Regions from separate parts of the Mus musculus genome. Here region 2 is reported to be linked to region 1. The links are microRNA targets in miRTarBase. Many come from high-throughput screens and were not tested one by one. Region 1 holds a microRNA gene; the other region holds the end of a gene's coding sequence.

Region 1 (3,774 bases):
AGGGTTGACTCTGACCCCAAAGAACTCACACAGGGTCAACCAGAACCCAGGGGTGAAGCGCATCCCCCGTGGAGGCTGGGAATGCAGAGCATTCCGATGCCAGCACCTTGGGCCCAGGAAAAGCTCAGCCAGCTCTCGAGCTGGGAGGGTGTTGGCACCCACTAGAGGGGGCATCTGGCTGAGCAACTGAGCGATGGCTGTGGCCATGCCACTACTCGCAATGAGGGTCGAGTCCAGGATGAGTCGGAGTGTGTGCCGGTGCTGAGGCCTGGCCACTTCCAAATTAGGGGCAGGCACTGGGGAGAGGGGCTGCCTTGCTCTCAACATCACCAGGACAGCTGCCACACCCAGGAGACTCTTCCAGTAGAGCAGGCCACGGAAGAAGTTTAGGACAACGGCCCGGATCTGGGCCACACTGAAGTGAGCCAGTAAGCCATTGAGGATATGGTCCATCGGGATGGCAGCCAGTAGCTCCCGCACCATGCTGGGCACCTCCTCATCTTCTTCCTCCTCATCCTCTTCTTCCTCATCTTCCTCCTCCTCTTCTTCCTCCTCTTCCTCCTCCTCCTCTTCTTCCTCCTCTTCTTCCTCCTCTTCCTCTTCCTCCTCCTCTTCCTCCTCATCCTCTTCTTCCTCCTCTTCCTCCTCTCCTTCTTCCTCCTCCTCTCCCTCCTCCTCCCCTTCTTCTTCTTCACCATCTTCCTCCTCCTCCCCTTCTTCTTCTTCACCATCTTCCTCCTCCTCCCCTTCTTCTTCTTCACCATCTTCCTCCTCCTCCCCTTCTTCTTCTTCATCATCTTCCTCCTCCTCCTCTTCTTCTTCACCATCTTCCTCCTCCTCCCCTTCTTCTTCTTCACCATCTTCCTCCTCCTCCCCTTCTTCTTCTTCACCATCTTCCTCCTCCTCTTCTTCATCATCCTCTTTATCCTCAGTCTCAGAGGATCTGTCAAAGTACCTTAGATTTGCCCTAATGGACATAAGCAGCAGTGGGCGCAGAAACCTTGCTCTGAAGCCTCTCTGGTTCCAACATCTGCGGAAGAGTGCTTGTGTGTCACCTTCAGCTGGCATCTCCATAACACCAAAATTGAAGTGTGAGAAGAAGAAGACCCAATGCCCGGGGAGAAGTACGGTGAGCCTGTCATTATTCAGAGAGGCTAGATCCTCTGTGTTGAGAAGGATCATGATGGGCTCCTCGGTGTTCTCCAGGTAGCGGCACCACACCATGAAGGCAGCCCGGATTGGAAGGATCCTCATCTCCACTCGAGGGTACTCCACCTCCATTGTAGAGAGGGGTCTTGAATAGAAAGCACAGGTAGATTTCTTGCCAGTTTCGTCGTCGGTTTGGACCAGGGAGGCAGACAGGAATGACCCAGTGATGTCTGTTTCCAAGTAGAATGGGTTCTGAGGCTTAGGGTGATAGAGAACGGGCGACTTGCGGAAAGCCCTCTTCAGGGATTCCAAGGCCTCCTGCTCCTCTTCTCCCCAGTAGTAGGGCTCTGAACTCAGCAGTTGTCTCACTAGGGGTGCTGCGATGACAGCGAAGTTCTCCACGAAGTGGCGATAGGGATAGACAAGGTCAATCACACTTTGAAGACACCTCCTGCTGCCAGGGACAGGGCACCCCACGATGAGGTTCATAAGGTTCTTGTTCAGTTTCACCCCTTTGGGGGATATGTTGAAGCCCAAGATTTCAGCGGTCTGGCGATGGAACTGAGTTTTGTCCAGTGAACAGTAGATGTTGTGATACCGAAAGCGGACCAGGACTTGGCGGACATGCTGGGAGTGTTCCTCCTGGCTCATTGAGTAGACCAGGACCTCTCTGCCATGGCAAATCACAAACAACCCTAGGATGTCTTTTAGGATGAAGTGAACAATGTTGTTCCCTTCGTCAGAGTATGAGTTCATTGTGAAGGGCCGGTAGCATCTCATCTGGTGAAGGCCGAAACCGAACGATGCTCTCCAAGTGTCTTCCGTGTGTGTGACCGTGTGCCTCATCTCACTTTCCTTAATCCCAAGCAGCTCCAGTTTTGTGAACCATGCCGCTCCATGTAGCTGGTCGAATAGCTCTGGTACCATCTGCGTGTAGTCTTGTCTGTCAGTCAGCATGTCATACAGTATCCAGTATTCCTCTTGCTCCCTGGCTTTCTCTTGCTGCCTGGCTTTCTCTTGCATCCTGGCGCTCACAGGTTCCAAAGTCTCTCGGGCCCCAGACTCGTAAAAGACGCCGCTTTGATCACTGTCTCCAGCCTGCTGAAGCTCAGAGGGCTCTGATTCAGAAAGATCATCGGATCCGTCTGAGCTTGGCTGGTCGGAAGTCTCATCATCTGCCTCCCTCGGGTTAAACACGTCGGCCAGGTCTGAGTATGTGTGTGGCAATCCGGGCAGTAGGCTTATGCTGTATGTCTCTAGTGCGATGCATGGTGGAGGTGGGGTGAAGCAATTCCGCAGACAGTAGGGAGAGTGGAAGGTACACCGGCCTCTCATCCAGTCGACTTCAGGGGCATGGGTTCGGAGCCACTTCATGCCTAAGACGATGGAGAAGTTGGGCGAAGGTAAGATGTCAAATTCGATGTACTCATAATGCTTCTGGTGGACACATACCAGGGGCTCGGTGCACAGCCAGACGGGTTCATTGCCAATTGGGATGCCATCCACACCTTGGATTATCTGTGGATAAGGCTTCTCATAGAGTTCCACATAGTGTTCCTGGGCAAACCTCTCATCCATGTAGTTCCCTTCTGCTCCTGAGTCCACCAGGGCCCGCACTGCGACACTGTGGTAGGGGTCCACTCTCACCAAGAGCAGTAAGAAGAGGTGATCGCGATCAATGTCTGGGTGGAACTCATTGGGCAGCCAGCTGCTTACCCTCCACTTCTCTGGGGCGGGAGCATCCATCCAGGCTACGCTTCTTGGGCGCGACTCAGGTGGCAGCCTGAGTAATGCTCTTCTCTCTGCCAGCTTTTCTTCAAGTTGCAGGACAAGTACAATCAGGTTGTCTAGGGAATTCGGCTGAGGGATCCGGAACAGATAGTGCCTGATCTCTTCGTTGAGCCCCTGGCACAGGTGGGCCTGCAGGACTTCATCTGGCCAGCCTAAGGTGGGTATCAGACCCCGGAACTCATTGATGTAATCGGCCGCACAGCGGTTCCCCTGCCTGATGTTGAACATGGCGTCTTCCGCCACACGCAGGGTCTGCCGATACTCAAACTTTTCTGACATGGCCTCCAGGAAGGCTGAGAAGTTGTTTATCACTGGGCTGTTCTGCTCTACGAGGTCGTTGGCCCATTCCAAGGCTAGGTCAGTCAGGTGGCGGATGACGAATTTCACCCGCAGCTCATCATTGTATAGCATACTTGGGTAGTTCTGCATTGTCATCTGGCAGAGCACGACAAACTCATGGTAGTCTCTGCGATCTCCAGAGAAGGGCCTGAGGGAGGGCAGGCGACCTTCGTTGATAGCCTGCATCATGAGCCTTTCTGCCACTCTCTGTTGTTCTTTTAGGTCTTGCATCCGGAGGAACAGCGAGATGACGTTCCCCATGGTGGCCACGACTTCTTCTGGAGAGTTCTTGGGCTGACCTTCCTCTTCACCACCTTCCTCTTCCTCCTCTTCCTCGTCATCTCCCAGGTCAGTATCATCTTGGTCTGACTGGGTCTCGGATGAGTTGATTGTTTCATCCATGCTATAATCGGATGCCTCACTGAGTGGTTCCGACCCTTCCTGGTTTGAAATATCACTTGACTGGTTTGAACTGTCGCTTGACTCCTGGTTCGA
Region 2 (3,617 bases), not on the chromosome of region 1:
CATGTGACCCTGTGAGGGAAGATGGTTGGAACAGAACAGAAAGGGGAAGTCTGTGAGCCATGTGAATTTACACTAAAAACATCATATCTTTACTGTTACTATCTAGCCCATTGCCTCTTCAAAAAGAAGCTGAAATGACTAGGCCAAGACAAGTTCATACCCATTTATCTGTCTATGGGTGATAATAGTTAAATAGCAAAAAATATGGGATGTTTAACAACAAATGACAAAATATGTAAGCTAGCTACTGATTGTAACTTGTGAGTACTCTAGTTCCTTTAACTTTGAAGTGATCAGTAGGACATAGTGGGCATTTTAATGGTACCAAGCTAGTTTCTTATCTTAAACATCTAAAATCTGTTGTTCCTTGGTGGCAGGGAGGTATTCAGTATTAAAGTTGCAAACCAGGTTTGGTTTTTTTTTCCCCTCTACTTGGGTAATTAGGGACACACACGTTAGGTCAGTAGTCTTTCCTCGGTCTTTGAAAGGCTTCATTAAAGCAGCAAATATTTCAACAGGTGCAGTGGACAAATACAAGCAAACAAATGGATTCTTTTCTATTATGGTTTTGTTGCTGATTCGAGTGAGACACGGCTTAACCTAGGACCTATTCATTACAGATGTACACACTTATCATGTCATGTTTGTAGCATGACTCTACACAACAGATTGTGTGCTTTACAATCTTTCCACCCTCTTAAAAAATATCAATGCAATGACCAAGACAAATTAAGCAAATCAAGATGACTGAAAAGCAAGGAGAGGAGTACATTTTGGTTTTGATTTGATGCATCAGCATGTGACATCACTTCCCAGGGAGAAAGGCAGGCGCTGGAGTCTACTGACAGCATCTCCTCACACTGGTGGTGGTCCACAGGGACTTCGACTACAGTTCCCAAGCTTACTGCCTTTCTGCCTCTCTCCTCCTGTTGTCTGATAGCTATATTAGTTTCTAAAGGTATTTTCAAAGAGTGCAAGAAATTCTTATCAGAAGCATTTATGGTTGACTAGGATGACTTCTTTGGACACACAGGAGTGAACACGAAGGTAGGAATCATATAAAGAAGGTAATTCAGAAGCCGGGCGTGGTGGCATCGCATGCCTTTAGTCCCAGCATTCTGGAGGCAAAGGCAGGCAGATTTCTGAGTTTGAGGCCAGCCTAGTCTACAAAGTGAGTTCCAGGACAGCCAGGACTATAAAAAAAAAAAAGACTGGGTGGGGCTAACTTTTCTTTAAATTCATATCGAGCCACATATTGCCCTGCTTAATTTCTCTACAATATTGGCACATCTTGTTTTTATTGAATAGCTGAAAATTAGAAACTTCATATTCAAGAAAGCAATTGAAAATTGAAAAATTGAAAAATGAAGAAAATCCAAATCTTACTTTGCTCCCTAAATATGAACCTATAAAATCACCTGTATGAAGTAGTGTATAATTGTTATGGGCAAATCAAAACTTTAACAATACCCTGAAAATGTGGTGTCTAAATAGATCCTAAGAAATAAGAATAGCACCCACTTCTATTGAAAGGAAAGGAGAAGGAGGGAAGAGGAGGAGGAGGAGGAGAAGAAGAAGAAGGAAAAGAAGAAGGAGGAGGAGGAGGAGAGGAAGAAGAAGAAAAAGAAGAAGAAGAAGAAGAAGAAGAAGAAGAAGAAGAGACATTGTAAAAGTGACTTCAATAATAAAGCACAAAATTCTCCCTATTTATCAGAAAATAAAACAAGACATGAGACATATAATATTTAGTTTTAGCTGTTATGTACACAATAGGAGGTCACAGACCTCTCAAAGAGTGTTGTAAGAATGAGATTGATTTCTAGACACTTTAGGTTTGGAAAATGAGCAAACTCCTAAAGTACCCTGAACAACAATTCTCTGCCATGTTGCTACTGTGTTATAAACTACATGTCTGTCAGTCCCCACAGCTTATGTTGCCAGAAGTGTCCTGGGGACACACTCCAGCTTTTCTGTTCTATTCTCAGTCGTGGGTAGTCCAATCAGTAGAGGGCGGAATTTTCAAGTGTTTCCCCTCCTTGTATAACAAGAGATGTCTTCTGGGATGGAATTCAAGGTCTGGGTTTGGTTTTTGCTTTTGCTTATTGTAGTAAAGAATTATAAATTATAAGTCCCTGTTAGCAGGGCTCAGGAATGACCCCTGGTCTTGTCAGTTCCACACCTATGAATTACTCATGAGATCAAGCTTATGTCACTACTTTGTGCTGGAGGGAAAAACAGAATCTAGTCTACTTGAATATGTCAGCTCTTCTCATTTATTTGGCTTGGATAGTTCAGCACCCCATTAAATCTGCATTAAGCCCCCATTTTAAAAAGTCATCGAAAGATGTACATCATTGCTTAGCAGGCTTCTAAAGCATGGATTCATCCGATTTTTCAGTGTCTCTGCATTTTAAATCAAGTTATGTGTTAGATATGAATTCTGGAAATTAATGGAGGGGTTCTATTGTCTAGCACCCAGCCCTAATTGTGACCTCTCAAAGAAACTGTGTAGACAGGTGTGCAGATTAAACTGGCACAAGTATGGCAGATTGATGGTGAAAAACTAGTTCTGTTTTGTTTTTAACCAAACTTATCCATGTAGATTTTTTTCCCTTTAGCCTTCTTTGAGCTAATAACACTGATTTTTTTTCCACCGTACAGTTAATTTTAATCCACACTGCAAAACTGTACGCAAATATAACATATTCCTGCTTCCCAGAGTTTTCCTTTGACTTAAGAATGACTATGATAATAATTTTTTCAAATCCATTTATTTCTTTATGATCTCCCGATACTCAGTGTTTTCGTAGATACATGTGTAATTCTTTGTGTGTTGAAAAGAAAAAAATGATTGTCCTCAATTCACTTCATGACTTAATATCAAATGAAAAAAAAATGAACCTTCAAGAGAGTCATTTTGTGAAATTAATGTTGAATTGTGCTTAGGTGAGCCAAGGTCTGGAATGCAGATCTAATTCTGCAGCTAAAAGTAAAAATCGGTGGAAGATTTAAAAAATTAGTTGTTTTCATCACAACTCAGGTGCGCAGATGAGCAAGTGCGTGGGTTTTCTACGTGCACCATCTCAAGAGTTGACCATCCCAACAAATGTTAAAGCATGAATTTATACTATGGCATTGAGGAAGATGCCAGTTTTGTTACTGTTTGCGATGTTTTTGTTGCAGCTAAAATCCTTTGCAATTCTTTGGAAAAAAACACACACACACACACAAAGAAACTCATGATTAAATTCATGAACACTGATTCGGCGATGAGACTTGTTAAATATTACTCTCTTTGTCCCTGTCTGAGGGAGGATTGTGTGCGTTTGAAGCTTTGACAGTAACTTCGTCCTGTTTAGATCTGTTCAGGGCCTCCATTTCTCTGGACGCGTGTGAAGCTGACTTCTTCTTCTTTGCCTTCTCTCTCTTCCTTTCCTTGTCGAGAAGTCTATAGTTTATAGCATTGCCAATCAGGAGGTAAGTACCTGATACTAACACGACTGTTCCGCTGGCTATGTACAGGTATTTATATTCTCCAGTTATATCAAGCAATTTACCTGTGAAACAAAGAACACCCTTTAAGAAGGCATGATAAGGTGATGAGGTGGTCTCGCGGA

The links. Region 1 holds the annotated microRNA mmu-miR-433-3p (AUCAUGAUGGGCUCCUCGGUGU, at 1,178-1,199, shown strand). A microRNA usually pairs through its seed, bases 2 to 8, with sites in the 3' UTR of a target mRNA and lowers its output. Matches are read on the target gene's strand: a 7mer-m8 pairs with bases 2 to 8, a 7mer-A1 pairs with bases 2 to 7 and ends in A, and an 8mer does both.
Region 2: miRTarBase lists Slc16a7 as a target of mmu-miR-433-3p. Seed matches in the 3' UTR shown: 7mer-A1 at 3,249-3,255, 7mer-m8 at 3,238-3,244 and 7mer-A1 at 2,867-2,873.

The regions. Positions count from the first base shown.
Region 1 is chr12:109,590,604-109,594,377 of GRCm38, forward strand. Mir433 (microRNA 433) reads left to right here and starts at 1,112; the gene lies at 1,112-1,235. Rtl1 (retrotransposon Gaglike 1) reads right to left here. Exons shown (of 2, transcript NM_184109.2): 2 at 1-3,774. 6430411K18Rik (RIKEN cDNA 6430411K18 gen) reads left to right here and starts at 934. Exons shown (of 1, transcript NR_002848.3): 1 at 934-2,248. It overlaps Mir127 (microRNA 127), which reads left to right and starts at 2,243; the gene lies at 2,243-2,312.
Region 2 is chr10:125,224,733-125,228,349 of GRCm38, forward strand. Slc16a7 (solute carrier family 16 (monocarboxylic acid transporters), member 7) reads right to left here. Exons shown (of 6, transcript NM_001358915.1): 6 at 1-3,557. The coding sequence ends at 3,280. Among named protein-coding and RNA genes, the nearest start is that of Gm46205, 65 kb to the left of the region's middle.